Linked DNA regions of Drosophila melanogaster. The protein of the gene in region 3 purifies or fractionates together with the protein of the main gene of each other region. This does not show direct contact. Each region holds a gene or a part of one and is shown on either strand. Other genes may lie near its edges.

What was found. Proteins that work in one complex are often made in the same cells at the same time.
Region 1: the proteins of wts (region 3) and Zyx purify together in Drosophila melanogaster (affinity purification with western blotting; one study listed by BioGRID). This does not show direct contact.
Region 2: the proteins of wts (region 3) and jub purify together in Drosophila melanogaster (affinity purification with western blotting; 4 studies listed by BioGRID). This does not show direct contact.

The regions. Positions count from the first base shown.
Region 1 is NC_004353.4:1,062,002-1,066,688, forward strand, and holds the start of Zyx (zyxin), read right to left. Parts: upstream 3,001-4,687; 5' UTR 2,822-3,000; intron 2,381-2,821; 5' UTR 2,244-2,380; intron 919-2,243; exon of another isoform or gene 677-918; intron 1-676. Other genes in the region: apolpp (apolipophorin), read left to right, coding at 3,107-3,182, 3,855-3,884, 3,939-4,687.
Region 2 is NC_004354.4:13,825,830-13,831,933, reverse strand, and holds jub (ajuba LIM protein), read left to right. Parts: upstream 1-1,616; 5' UTR 1,617-1,923; coding exon 1,924-3,292; intron 3,293-3,680; coding exon 3,681-3,710; intron 3,711-4,214; coding exon 4,215-4,355; intron 4,356-4,424; coding exon 4,425-4,594; intron 4,595-4,813; coding exon of another isoform or gene 4,814-4,828; coding exon 4,829-4,891; intron 4,892-4,981; coding exon 4,982-5,147; intron 5,148-5,216; coding exon 5,217-5,464; 3' UTR 5,465-5,604; downstream 5,605-6,104. Other genes in the region: AMPdeam (AMP deaminase), read left to right, coding at 1-232, 300-594, 656-766, 834-1,013. UniProt on the Drosophila melanogaster protein: Regulates organ size by inhibiting apoptosis and promoting cell proliferation by influencing the expression of G1/S-specific cyclin-E (CycE) and apoptosis 1 inhibitor (th). Negatively regulates the Hippo signaling pathway.
Region 3 is NT_033777.3:30,803,565-30,808,574, forward strand, and holds the start of wts (warts), read right to left. Parts: upstream 3,056-5,010; 5' UTR 2,724-3,055; intron 1-2,723. Other genes in the region: dj-1beta, read left to right, coding at 3,634-3,720, 3,784-4,103, 4,170-4,326. UniProt on the Drosophila melanogaster protein: Negative regulator of Yorkie (Yki) in the Hippo/SWH (Sav/Wts/Hpo) signaling pathway that plays a pivotal role in organ size control and tumor suppression by restricting proliferation and promoting apoptosis.

The sequences.
Region 1 (4,687 bases), on a different chromosome or scaffold from region 3:
ACTTTATGGGAAAGTTTCATTCAGGGATAATTAGTGAGACAAGTTTGTGTAGAAGCGAACGGATGGCAAAACAGACGATGAACGGCGATATCGACTCCACCGCTTTCCAGAAACTGATCAATAATTGATAAACCCCTGAACAAATTTTTAACTCAAATTTTTATAATATTTCCTTTGGGCCCAAACAAAACAAATGGCTGTCATGTAGGTGGCTTCCGATAAATTCGCTCACTCGACCACTGTTATTAAAAATATTTATAAGTTAACTTTATGAAATAAATCTCGTTTCAACATCATCCGAAATTGCATTTTTGTTCTTCTCCCAGACAAAGGAATTTTAAAATAAATTAAATCTGGTGCGGCTCTTTCAATTTATTTTTTCGTGATATTTGGTTCAGCTAATTTGCTAATAAATGTAAATGTAAATGCGAAGTCATATTACTTCATATTCAAGAAGAAAATTCTGTTCTCTTCTTATCTTCATGTAAGAAATTCACATTAAATACCGTGGAGGTCTGAATATAAATATTAATTTCATTGAATAAAGTTCCTCGTTAATATAAAAATGATTGCAAACCACAGTTGCTTGTAAATAAGTACCATAACGATATCCATATTTTTGAACACCACACCCAATCGTCTAATTGTTTGGCCCAATCGAAGCGAAATTAAGCTCGGTGGAGGAGTATTGTAAAGGATAGGGGAATGACCGATTTCTAAGGAGCCACATAATTAGGAGCCAAAATAATTATTAATTAATCAAATACCTTTTTAGTCAAGTGGTATAAAAACCCTAAATATGGGAAATCTATCATGAAAGGTGCACTTTTAAAAGGAAGCTGACTTGGAATCACTTCACATATGTACGGCCATAGAGCTCAATTCATCAGCGGAATCTTTTCAGAAAATGTGGGCACGGTAATCTAACTTTTTAATGGTTAAAGAAAAAAGATTTAAATGGTTGTAATCAGACAATCGTAACTGACATCCTATTCTACGCTTCTAAACAGTGGTCTCCTGCTGTCACAACGCACTATTAGTGATCATCTTCAAAGCGTGGACTTCCGTTTACGATGATTTATTTACTAACCGGGAACAATACAAGAGTAAACTTCTTTCGAACTGTAATTTTTTCTGTCCGATCACGCAGGCTGCCTTTCTGCGTGCTTATCGAGCAGCGTTTTGCTTTCCAGCAACTTTTAATTACAGATTAAAGTTTCTTATCAGTCGTTAACTGCAATTCAGGAACGAACTTTCATATAAACATATTTTATACATCTGTTCAAAATCAAATAAATATACATGTGTAAATATGTGTATGCATATTTTAAATACCTATGTACCTATGCTTGCATTTGTAAGCATACTTTCATCTATATGAAAAAAGGGCATAAAAATGTATAACAAATTCCATTACAGATGTGTGCAAACATGGATTGCAAGTGACAATCTCTGCAAATGCATATATGTATGTATGTATGTGTGTACTTGCGCATTCACATTAAATTTGGAATGATAACAATTGTTACATCGAATTTCTCAATACCTATACATAAAACATAATTGCTTTAGAGTTACAACTAGTTTTCTTATTTGCACATACAGTTTGTCAAGAAACTGTTTACACACTGTGAAATAAGTTGAATTTTTGACTTTAAAGGTAAAAACTAAGGGTTCTTTGCTTAAATTAAACGCAATTTTTTTCTAAAATATAATTAATCAATATTTATTTTACTTATGAATCAAAAAACGAATTAAAAATATTAATTATACAAGAAAATAAACAACAAATTCCAAGTTTACACACTTTTGAGACTGTCAAGTATATAAATATCAGTTTTCAACATTTATAATCACAATTATACTTTGCATTTCTTACAGTTTTCAACACCTTTAAGAGGAAAACGTAATTTGCGATTTGTTTATTACTTTATTAGCCCAAAGCCATATTTAAAATATTGAAAAGGTAGATGAAAGGATTTTGTACTACTAAAGTAATAGAGTGATTCGAACAATATTTGCTTTTAAGTTACATTTTTAATGGAGACTGTGGGTGGTTTTGGTAACATATGGCTTGCCAGAAAATGCGGTGAAGTGTAAATTAAAATGCTTAATTGGGTATAATAGGTCTGGTAGGATGGCCAGAAGGGGGTGGTCACCCAAAACAACCAAGTTTAGAAGCAAGCATAAACGACCCTGTAAAGTATATATATATATATATAAACTTGAGCAGGATTTCTTACCAAATCGATCTGGGCATGTCCGTCCGTGCCCACACTTTTGAAAAATGTTTGATATTTTGCATTTTTGTTATCAGTCAGATTTATCAATCAGATTTTACAATCTACCGATTTTTACGTCGCTCACTGTCACGCCCACACTTAAAAAAAATTTTGTGATTTTTTTTCATGTTATTATTTTTCTGGTCATTTTCCACTGGTATATCGAGAAAATGTAGGTGAAAGACGGGAAATGGTACTATAGCGTCTACATTTTCTATATATTCTATATTTTATATCAGCCATTGTAAGTTGAGCACGTATTATGCAAAGCGATATATTTTTATTTAATTATATCTATATTTAATTATTCTTTATTTTATTTTTGTCTTATGTATTAGATGAAAATTGAGAGTAGGTAAAGGTACTAAGCTAGGGTCGAGTATGTCGAAGTCCGATTATAATGAGATTATATTAAATACACTCGGCTTTGGCCTGAGCACCCATCGCTGGTGATAAAGAATCGTTTAAATGCATGTCTCTCACAATGTGTCTTCATCTGTACTTGTTTCGCTGTATTTGTATTTATTTACAAGACATACACTTAAATACTATGTGGCACAATTGTAGATGTGTGAGTTCTTGATTTATTTGAGGTATTTAAAGTGAGTGTTTTCACGTAATCCGGCTTAATTCGTAGACAACGTTCATTGTATTCGAATCGGTTTAATTCGCGGATGGTCTGTGTGTTTCTTAATCTAAGAAGTATATACAAAGTGAAATTGGACCAGTGTTGGTAAAGGTAAAAAATACATGTAGTAAAATAAAAATGTGATACAAATTGTGGCGTTTGCTATTCCCAGGCTATCCCTAAGGGGCCCAGCGTAATGGCCAGGATGAAATACAATATCGCTTTGATTGGAATCCTAGCTTCTGTGCTTTTAACAATTGCTGTAAATGCTGGTAAGTGCTACAAGTTAAGCTAACCATAAATTATTGAAATCTTGATTTTTATCGAATGATATAGATTATGTAAACTAAATCAAAAATAAATGAGCCGATCGTGTAAAAACATGGTTTAACTACTTAAATCTCTTACAGGAGATTTAATTATGAATGATTTTCTCTACTTTACAAAATTACACTTTTTATATTATATTGACTATAATACTATAAAATTTATTAGAATACAAAACTTCAAATTTGCTCCAAAAAAGTCAAAGTTATAAGGATTTGGAATATTCAAAAAAAAAAAAAAAAAATCAAAGTTTGACAAATGCTGTTTTTGCCAGTTAAACCGCAATGTCCAACTGGATTCTTTTTCAGTAAATTGTTAAAAACGGATAGCAAGAGAAATTCTTTTGCCAATAGCTCCGTTAAAAAATCATATATTTCATAAAAATCGTTTGAGTCCCATCAATCAAAACATATAAAATTAGAGGACATTGCACCTTTAAAACTCAAAATCATTGATAACGATTTATAGACCTTATAGATGGTTCAGGTAAATACATAAGTGGTAAAGGGGGAACCCAAATTTTAAAATTCTTTCTGGTGATACTAATATTTATTTGGCGACTTGGAGATTACTTTTCCTTAATTCATTCTATACAAACATTTTCTTTTTAATTTTAGAAAACGCTTGCAATCTAGGATGTCCAAAATGTAAGTAATACAAAAAAAGTATGTATTTATATACTAAACAATTTTATGCCACAGCTGACAATGGACTTTTGAAGTACATACCCGGCAACTACTATGACTATTCCTTCGACAGTATTTTAACTATTGGAGCGAGTAGCGACGTTCCGAACGACTCAGATGATACAAGTCTTAAAGTGTCCGGATCTGCAAAAATTTTTGCGAAAGGAAACTGTGGGTACACATTACAGTTAAGTTCCGTTAAGGTAACTAATACAAAAGAGTCTGTGGAGAAAAAGATATTGAACAGCATTCAGAAGCCAGTTCAGTTTACACTGGTAAGTGGAATTTTAGAGCCACAAATTTGCTCAGACTCCAGCGACTTGGACTACTCTTTGAATATTAAGCGCGCAGTTGTATCATTGCTTCAATCGGGAATAGAAGCGGAACATGAGGTTGACGTTTTCGGCATGTGCCCTACACATACATCAACATCGAAAGTGGGTAACGCAAATATAATTACGAAGGCGCGGAACTTAAACAGCTGTTCGCATCGCGAGCAGATAAACAGTGGCTTGGTGTCCGGCAAAGTTAACGAAAAAGCTGGCATTACGTCTAGCCTGCTGTTGCAGGCAAACTATATAAAGGAGTCCAGGATTGTAAACCACTTAATTGAAAATGTTCAGCTGACAGAAACATATAAGTTTATTGGAAATACTAAAAGAAACTCTGATATCAGTGCAAAAGTAGTCACAATATTAAAACTGAAAAATCCAAGCGGTACCAAGGCAAACTCACCAGGAACTGGTTCTACTGTCAGAAGCCTA
Region 2 (6,104 bases), on a different chromosome or scaffold from region 3:
TCCTGCCGCTCTTCGAGGCGACAGCCCGACCCAGTAAGCATCCCGAGTTGCATCGCTTTCTGCAGTACGTGATCGGATTCGATTCGGTGGACGATGAGTCCAAGCCGGAGAATCCGCTCTTCGACAACGATGTGCCACGTCCGGAGGAGTGGACCTACGAGGAGAATCCGCCCTATGCCTACTATATCTACTATATGTACGCCAACATGACGGTGCTGAACAAGTTTAGACAGTGCGTAGAAGTATATTGATATGTATATATATCATTGATTAACCCACTGTTACCTTTGATACATCAGATCTCGCAATATGAACACCTTTGTGCTGCGGCCCCATTGCGGCGAGGCTGGACCCGTGCAGCATCTGGTTTGCGGCTTCCTCATGGCCGAGAACATCTCCCACGGCCTCCTGTTGCGCAAAGTGCCCGTGCTGCAGTATCTGTATTATCTGACCCAGATTGGCATCGCCATGTCGCCGCTGTCGAACAACTCCCTGTTCCTCAACTATCATCGCAATCCGCTGCCAGAGTATTTGGCCCGTGGCCTCATCATTTCCCTCTCCACGGATGATCCCTTGCAATTCCACTTCACCAAGGTGGGCTAGACAATATATGCTTTAATATTCAGCATTAAATTAACCCATGTCCGCTTTTCAGGAACCCCTCATGGAGGAGTACAGCATTGCGGCACAGGTGTGGAAGCTCAGCTCATGCGACATGTGCGAGCTGGCCAGGAACAGTGTGATGATGAGCGGATTCCCACATGCCGTGAGTTCCAAGCATGCTTTCTGCTTTATGTTCGGACAAATGATTCCAATTCCGATTTCATCCACAGATCAAACAGCAGTGGCTGGGACCCATCTATTACGAGGACGGTATCATGGGCAACGACATCACGCGCACCAATGTGCCAGAGATCCGTGTGGCCTATCGCTATGAGACACTGCTGGACGAGCTGTCCAACATCTTCAAGGTGAACCAGACGTGCTCCATTGCAGACATGAACGCCACATAGTCTGGTCCATGCGGTACATCTGCTCCATCGCGTTGTTGTGGCTTCCTATGCTAACTTAATGCAAATTACGCAGATATATACGCTAGTTATATACATAATTTAAATGTTTCTGTACTAACCAAAATGTAAACGCGGCAGACCAAAACCTTTAAATATACAAAACTTGTACACGAAACTTCCATTCATTCAACTTTTATTTAAAAATAATCATAAGGTAAATAATATATAAATATAAATAATAATATATTTCGAGCTATGGGATCTAAAATTGTAGTTTTGGCTAACCTTTTGGGTTCAAAAGTAAAAATAGTGGATATAAGTTAAAAACTCAAGAAGAGTAATATTAAAATTTCAATGTTTGAAATTTAGACCTCAAATATTTCAAAATCCCGACTTTAAATGGATTAAAATTATTGCAAGCTAAAAAAATAACTAAGTGGAATTGTAATTAAATTTACAATTTTAAATAATAACGTTGCTAGATTAAAAAAAAAAAAACAATGTAATGCAATGCAATATGTATTTGATATTTTAGAGTGGCCCTTTTGAGCTGCAGTATATTTTGTGGTATATTCGCCTGCCTGCCGGACAGTATATTATAAACGTAACCCGCGGCGGTCACACTTAACTGTACGAATTTTTTGATATTCCAATGCAGGCGCACAAAGAAAATGCAGAAAAGCTGATAGAATAAAGGAAAAGCCGACTGACTGATTGCCAACTAGCCGAGCACAGTTAGCTAAGGTCTTTTCCGACCGGGAAAAGCGAGCCAATCGTTGATTTCGGGGCGGCGTCCCCCCCGCAGAGCGAGACAGCAAGTGTGGCGAGGGAGTAGGAGAGACGGAAGAAGAAGACGATAAGGAGGAGGAGCAGGATCTGGTGGATAAATATACATATATCAAAAGACAGAATGACCACCCAGCGGACGCAGACGCAGGCGAGGAATCCCGGCAACTCCGATTCCGACTATGAGACACTGATGCAGCGTCTTCACATCGGTGGGGGAGGTGGTGCTGGTGTTGGAGGAGGGGGCGGCAGTGGTGGCCCTGGAGACGGGGGCGTGGCCATGCGAAGCTACCAGCGCTCACCGGGCGCCATTGAGAACTACCTGCAGGAAAGTCAGCAGCAACAGCAGCAACATCAGATGCAGCAAATGCAGCAACTCCATCACAATCAGGACTATAAGCTGTACGAGCGCGGCAACATCATTGCCGCCTCCAAATACGCCACGCCCCGTCCGGTGGAGCAGATACAGCACACGCACAACGGAAGTGCACAAATCTATGCACCGACCGCACAGATTCTGGGCCAGCGGATTGCACCGCAGAAGCATTCGCCGGTATATGAGAACTTGGAGTTCTACGGTCAATTCGATTCAAACCACAAGAGGGCTCAGCCTCAAAGTCCCGGGAGCAGGCAGAGCGCCATATTGAACGGCTATCTGCTGATGCAGCCCATTCGGGCTGGGCGCTTTGCACACACGCCGGTGCCAGAGAATCAAGGATCTGCATCGTTGGGAACGACCAGAGCAGCAGGAGGACCACCACCACCATCGGGACGTTCTGCTGCTTTGGGTCCAACTGGCGATCTGGAGGAGCATGCTGCGCCCATATACGAGAACATCATTCCACACTCTGGCCAGCGGGCACAGCCACAGGCCTCGCCGGCCACCGCCACCATGTATCAGGAGATGCAGCCCACGTCCAACTCCTCAGGCAGTTCGTCCACCGCCGGTCTGGATCTCAATGCGCTGCTGGCCTCGCCCATGCACCAGCGAAGCATTAGCAGCAACACGGCCAGTTCTAGCTCCTTGGGATCGCCAACGCAACGATATAGGAATCTATCGTTACCTAGCCACCTAAGTCCCGTACCCACCGCGCAGTCGGTGGCCAAACTGCAGCAGCACACGCCCGTTAAGTCGCCCGGCGGCGCCATTAATGTCTCCGTTAATCCTAACTATATAGAGGACATCAATAGCTCTGACTACGTTTGCATGACGGCGAATCTGCACAGGAATACGGCAGCAGGATTGGCTACCGGCAGGGCGGCTGCAACGGGAGCCCCTGCCCAGCGAACTGTCCAGGAACCACCAATAATAACGTCATCACTGGCCATGGGCATGGCCACGGCAGCTCCACCAACCACATCCAATGCACCGACATCAGCAGCAGCGGCACCAGCAGCACCAACATCCACCGCTTCCTTGCGGGCGACGCCCATTGCGATGACGGCTCCTCTGGCGGTGGCCACATCACCCACTCCCTCGCAGGGCAGCACAGGTAAGCGACTGACGATCGTCTGTCCCCAAAATGGCGAATTACTTTAAGTGATGGAATAGATACTGCATCGCTTAGGTGGAGTACATGCTATATATAGTAAAGTGAACAAAAATTCTATCGATCCATTTAAAGATGCATGGTTACTTTACTAAACTAAAGCTATCATTTAAATATGGAATAATAATAAAAAGCACCTTCAACGTACTTTTTATTATACATAAACATGTATTTCGCCTAGCATGCAACATATTATAATATTTCAGTATCTATGTATGCATACTTTTGCCTACATGGATACATTCCATCACTAAACAACCATCAATTCGAGATTGTATTAATCAAACTAATGAATCCAAATGCTTCCCCCATCAAAAATGCTTGCACGCAGCCGTTAATGCTGCCTTGAAACCCAGGAGAGGTATGACGGGCTGAGCTTGGTTTCTCCAAAGGGGTTGGGTTCCGTTCGTGTCATCACTCATCGCTCAATCATAAACCGGTTGGCGGGGCGACAAACTTTGGTCAAACGGTTGCCGCTAACCGGTTTAATTTTAAGTCCTTTACCTGAACCGATTCAATGACAACCGAAACCGATTCGAATGCAATATCGTTCATTTTCATTTCACCATGATTGAAATTGCGATTTTATCGTTTAAACAAACAAATTTTTTATGTTTTGTCGATGGGAATTATAATTAGAAAAATATTATTATAATTTGATTTCATTTTTCATTCAAGAATTTGGCTTACACCGCGAATTTTTCAGCTTTTTTCCTGATTTATTTATTTCAATTATTTTCGTTTGTCCCAACAATGCGCCCGCATATTTATTTTTGTTTTTTCCTAACTAAGCTGACTAATCTTCACTTGGCCTTGCAAGCCAAGTCAATAGCATGACCTAATATCTACTCTGTACCGCCATCAGGTCTCACCAAGAATCTGCTACCGTATAGCGTCACCCCGCCGCGTCCGGCTGGCCCGACGGAGGCGCAGCGCAAGATCGAAGAGCTCACACGCCAGCTGGAGGAGGAGATCGAACAGAGCGAGGAGCACGGCGAATACTTTGGTGTGTATTTATTGTTAGCACTTAACCATAATATCTCTGACTCACAATAATATCGGTTACAATCACTAGGCATTTGTCACACATGCGGCGAGAAGGTGAAGGGTGCCGGGCAGGCTTGCCAGGCGATGGGCAATCTGTATCACACCAACTGCTTCATCTGCTGCTCCTGCGGACGGGCGCTGCGAGGCAAGGCGTTCTACAATGTGCATGGTCGGGTCTATTGCGAGGAGGATTACATGGTGAGAAGATAGTTGTAGTTGTAGTTTAGTCAGGACTGAAAAATATTGATATTCCCCGTAAAAACTCCTTTTCATTTTGAGAAAACACTTTCCCAACTGTATTGTGTTGTTTGAATTTTATTATATTTATGATTATAAATCGTTATTTTTGGTTACTGACGCAATTACCTTTTCATTTGCTTTGTTATGATTTCAACGCCATTAATTAATAATAATAAGAATTCACTCTTGCAGTACTCGGGCTTCCAGCAGACGGCGGAAAAGTGCGCCATCTGTGGCCATCTGATCATGGAAATGGTTCGTACTGCACCCCATTCGTTTCTATCCCACTCTAATTGGGCAACTTGTACTCACATTGACGTCGCTCTCGCTCTTTCCCTCTTGCAGATCTTGCAGGCCATGGGCAAGTCGTATCATCCGGGCTGCTTCCGGTGCTGTGTGTGCAATGAGTGCTTAGACGGGGTGCCCTTCACCGTGGACGTGGACCACAAGATCTACTGCGTCAACGACTACCATCGAATGTTTGCGCCCAAGTGCGCTAGCTGCGGCAAAGGTGGGTTCACAACTTCATTCCGAATAATACGTCAATGCTAATCTCGCAATCGTCGGCAATTCTCGGCAGGCATCACACCCGTCGAGGGCACCGACGAAACTGTGCGCGTCGTCTCGATGGACAAGGACTTCCACGTGGACTGCTACATCTGCGAGGAGTGCGGCATGCAGCTGACCGATGAGCCGGACAAACGCTGTTACCCGCTGGACGGGCGCCTGCTCTGCCGCGGTTGCCACCTGCAACGTCTGGCGCTGCAATCCTCGCCACACGCTCGTCATCAGGAGCCCGTCTGCGCTTCGTACCAGTATATGGGATAAGCGGAACGGAGTGTGGCTGGGAGAGGCGGCGCGGCGCAGACCGACCTTCCGACCTTCGACTGAGTGGCGCACAAAACCAGAACAAACTATCGCAATCAACTTATTCCAATTAACAATATTATCTTAAATAGACAGAAGTGAAAACAAATGCATTTATACGAAACGAGGGCCAAGCTAATGGCTTTTTTTTTTCTTCATTTTTATGGCAGTGTACTAGGATCTCGAAACGGATCTGTTAGAAACTATGTAATGGATTCCTAAAATCTCCGACAGTTGGCAGCCATTGTTGGCAATACTATTTTGATACAAGTATATTGATGTGTTCTTCATATGTATGTCCTGGGGTGTTCCTGAGACCTCTTGAGGTTTCAATGCAATAGCAAACGGTGTCTCAAATTATGCAATAAAATACTTAATACTTCTTATCTGAAAGTCTTTTGTGGATATTCCAGTGGGTTAGTGGCTTGTTGTGATACATACCATACATTCGGTTATTAAGTAGCGAAAATGCAAAATTTTAATTGTTTGCCTAAACCGTGAGTAATTAACATATACGTGTGACATTTTGAATTTTGTTTAGTTTTCTTATAACACATACATACAAAATATTTTCTTTTAAATTTTTCGAATGCTTAATGCT
Region 3 (5,010 bases):
CGGCGGCTGCTGCTGGGTCGCCTTTGCTCTTGCTCTCTTTCTCCCGCTCGCTCTCCATCTCTCTGTTTTCGTTTCGTTTTCCCTTTTTTCATACACTCTCTCACACAAACACACACACACACTCTCTGGAGGTGGTCGGCAAAAAGGGGGCGGGGATCGAAGCAAGCAAGAAAAACGAGCTAAATTGCATTTTCGTCGTCAACATCGCTCGACTTGCATTGCAACGAAACAGGGGCGCAGAAGGGGTGCGGAAAATTCCAGGGGGTTGGGGATTTTCATTGGGATTAGCCCAAGATCAGCGAACACCCTCACAAGCTTAGGATATACGGTCTTTGGGAAAATAGCCTAAAATTCTTCAATGTGACTTAGGAACTAGGATGCTCAGTATCCGTTAACTTTATTTGTATCAAAAATCATTTCATTGAAAAGAGTTTAATCGTTTAAAGATTACACTGGAATCCATATAGCACTATGCTCCATTGCGTTCTACACTTTCTGCGGGGTATCCCTATGGTCGTCACAATCCCCGCGCCAAACTTCCTCTTCCTTTTCTTGTTTTATCGTTCATTTACTTTTAAAAGCGAGCAACAACAGCAAAAACAGCCCACTGTATTGGTATTTATTGCCCTGCTCTCTGCTCGTTGGCTATATGCGCGCGCGTGTGTGTGTGTGTCTCTGTGTGCTCTGTGGAATGCACACGATCGACGCCAATGGAGCCTCACCTGTTCCAGCAGCAACAACAACTATCACAACTACAACAACAGCTACAACAAAGGCAGCAACAAACAACAACACACTCACATAATCCACTGCGAATTGCATGCTGGAATGTGAATGGAATCCCAGCGATTTTCCAGCGTCGCTGACGATGACGCCGCTGTTTGCTGGTTTTAAGCAAAAACAACAATCGCAACATCGCCAACAAGCACAAAAACAACAATAGTAGCAGTAGTAGTAGTAGTAATAGTAGTAGTCCGTCCCACTAGTGACTGCAACAACAAAGTTTTGCACATTTCGGAGTCGTTTTTTTGGACTTTAGCTTCGATTTCAGTTGCAAGTTTTGTGGGCTTGTTTATATCATAGCTGTGTACCATAATATTTGGAAATCCGATAGAGAATCGATGGTTTACTTCCATTCTATACAAAATAGTGTATGTAGAACTGAAGTCTGCTTTTGATGGCAAGTATAAAACCATTCAATAAAGTTGCTGCTAGTTTTAGCTACTAAAGAGTATTCAAACTACAGATAGCTGTGTCACACACATTCTGCATCTCATTGCAATTAAGTTTATGAATTTTCGGCTGGCTGCCTCCACAAAGGATGAGGTCTCGATGTCCCGCCCCTTCGTTTCTTGCTTTGTGCTTCGTGTTTCGTGCTTTTGCTTTTTCGCGAGCACAAACGGGCCGCCTGAGAAATTATTGTCGCACTGACATTGAAGTGGCGGCGCTGCCTCTAATTACAAATTACAATGGGCCGCAGTTACTTGTGCCACATTTCGCATTTGCATCTTGCGTCTGTGCATTTACTGTTCTGCTCCCGCGGATTTTCCCCATTCCGTTGATTGTGTACTCTAGTCACATGCAAATCGGAGGCAGCTGCTGCCCACGGTTGCATCAACACCGCGCATACTGTCACAAAGTTGATCTCTGCTATGACTACAGTGGCTTCTGCCTATGTGGGTTAATGAAGAATATGCTCTTCCATTTCATATCCATATGTGGGGGTTATTGTTACATATCAAAGTAGCATTTTGTGATTATTAGATATTTGTGTATGACTCATTCTTTTTGCTTAAGTCCATCAAATATGAAAATTAAATTTGTTTCTAACTGGAATATTTTCATAGTTTCAAATTGCAATGATTCAAAAGTTTCCTTTATAGTAAATATCACAATTCTACAATAGTCCTCGCAGTTTCTTTTAGTAGATCTTCACTGTATTCAAATCTTGCTCCGTTTTCGCCATGTTTTCCTTGTATTCCCGCAATTACCACTATTATTATTGTTATTGCTGTTACTCTAATTGTACTACTCTCAGTTTTCGTTGTTTAATGTCTTGTTGATTTCTCGAATTTGTAATTCTTTCGACACACGAATATCGCAGCCAATTAAGCGCTGTTTCAGTTGGAAAATGGTAAGAGGAAACGGGAAAACCGAGAAAAGTGCGTGCATACATTGACCTTGCCTAATGTCGTTGGCATTCGAAATTACACTGGAATAAAGTTAAAAATTCTACGAGATTGATAGTTTTCCATGGACACCAGTACCCTCCGCCAGAAAGAGAGGGAAGACAGAAGAATTTAATCCGATTTGTGTAGCAACCTCTCGCTCGCTCTCTTTGTCTCCTCCGTTCTCCCCCACACACACACACTCGCACGCAGCCGTACTGATTTATTCCACGAGAGAGCGAGAGCGAAATATGTAAATACAGCCTGTTGCATTTGTGTGTGTGCTTCGCATTTCGTTTTCAGGCACTTTTCCGCACATTTTTGATTGCTTTTCGTGCGTTTTCCGTGCAGTTTTCCTTGCTTTTCCACACAGGCAATTGGAAATGCACACCAACACACACATGGGGCGCACACCAGCGCAGCCACACACGCACTGGCTTACACACACACACACTCGCACACATTCAACAGATATTGCATTTTCTTTTTGGACTGGAAGATACGCAAATTCCAGCTGCAAACGTTGCATTTTCACCAGGCATTTTCCGCAATTACCTTCTTCGCGTTTTCCACGTTTTCCACGCAATTTCCTCGCTTTTCGCCTCTTTGTTCTCGCCTTTTTCGCGTTTCCCACACACGGCACTTATTGCTTTTCCTCTTTTTCTCCGTTTTTCCTTGCCTTTTGACGACAATTCGCTGATATTTGCCGACGTATTTTCACTTGATTCACTCGCGTTCGCAACCCATCACTTTTCGCGTGCATTCAATCGCATTTTTCAGGCATTTCCGATGCGCGTTTGGCTTAAATTTAGTAAAATTAATTCGTGGTTTTGTTGCTGCCGTCGTGCTAGATATGTTCACATATCGATAGACCGATATCGATAGACAGAGATCTAGGGAGGAGCAGCTGTACTTGGTCTGGCAACCACATCAGGTATCGATAGGATTTGACCGTGGTATATAAACATCGATATTATACTGAAAACAAATATAAAAATATTTCAGTGATCAGTTTATATAAATTTATGTAATACGACAGAATATAGAGAGCAAGTAAATGTTATCGGTTTTAACTTAAAGAACAAGACTTGTTAGAATTGTTAATGAGGTTTCAAACCATTTCTGTGTAGCACGTAGCATAGACGCAATCCTTTTCTCATATAAATAAAATCAACTGATTTCAAAGTCTTAATATTTTAAAATATAATGCAGAACATTGTTTTGAGTAAGAATGAAAATATTAACTTCCTGTGAAAAACAGAAGTTTTAAATGCATCAAATTAGTCGCCTAACTGCAAGTCAAACCAAATTATACAAGTGTTTTAGTTTGCCGCTCAGTTTTTGAAACCTCGATAAGGAAAACTCAAAGCTGCGTTCCAGAACAGCGCTATCGATAAGCTATCGTATCTGCATGGTTTTCTTTGGATTTCCTCAAATTTCAAGGCACTTTTCTAAGTTTACCAAGATGTCGAAAAGCGCGCTGGTGATTTTGGCTCCCGGAGCGGAGGAGATGGAGTTCATCATAGCCGCCGACGTTCTGAGAAGGGCGGGCGTAAGTGCTCTCAACCTTTCCATTAAATCACTCTGTTCTATACTTATACTTACTATATGATAGATCAAGGTCACCGTAGCCGGTTTGAATGGCGGGGAAGCGGTGAAGTGCTCGCGGGATGTGCAGATCCTGCCGGACACCTCGCTGGCCCAGGTTGCCTCGGATAAGTTCGATGTGGTGGTGCTGCCCGGCGGACTGGGTGGCTCCAATGCCATGGGGGAGTCCTCGCTGGTCGGTGACTTGCTGCGCAGCCAGGAGTCTGGTGGCGGACTCATCGCCGCCATCTGTGCCGCGCCCACCGTTTTGGCCAAGCACGGCGTCGCCTCCGGGAAATCCCTCACCTCGTATCCCTCAATGAAGCCCCAGCTGGTGAATAACTATAGGTATACCACCTCTTAAGTTTATTTTCCCATGATCTTCATCCCATTTCTTTTGATTATTTCTTTAAGCTATGTGGACGACAAGACGGTGGTCAAGGATGGCAATCTGATCACCAGTCGAGGTCCTGGCACCGCCTACGAGTTCGCCCTCAAAATCGCCGAGGAGCTGGCGGGCAAGGAGAAAGTCCAGGAGGTGGCCAAGGGTCTTCTTGTGGCCTACAACTAACATATTTACACTTATTTATGAAAACAGATTGTTTCAAGAGCAACTCATGCAAACAACAACTGAATTAAAATAAAATTATTCAAGACAGAAGTTGTGATTCAATTTTATATTTGCTATTTGAAAGAAGTTTAAATGGAGAGCTAGGAAATGGCATGTTGTTAAAGATATATTAAAGAAATTTATTTAAGTGAATTTAAATGTCATTATTTGAAGCAAACGGTTTTCATTTAATTAGTTTTGAGCGAAGTATAATTCTATCATAATGAATCAACTGAACTGCGTTAAAATAAATTGTTCAATGGGCTTTAATTTAATTTGTCATGAAATATAAATGCATATATGGCATGAAAAAAGAAACATCTATATTATTTCATTTGGTTATGACTGGACTATAAATGAAATTAAAAATGCATATATTAAAATGGGATGTGAAGCCAAATGGAAGTATTGCTGACGATATATTTACAAAATAGTACATTATTAATATATTTAGTTATATTCAATATTTACATTGATTAAACATTCTGCTGCATTTAATTGTAAAATTTTAAAAATAGCTGAAAGTAATGGCCTACGGTGGAATACCCCTACTGGGTTGGAGTCCCTGCACACCACAACCCGTGCCGCGAACCGTGGTTGCCGTCTCCGCTCGCGCCAAAAGGGACTAAGTATTTCGTCGCTAGC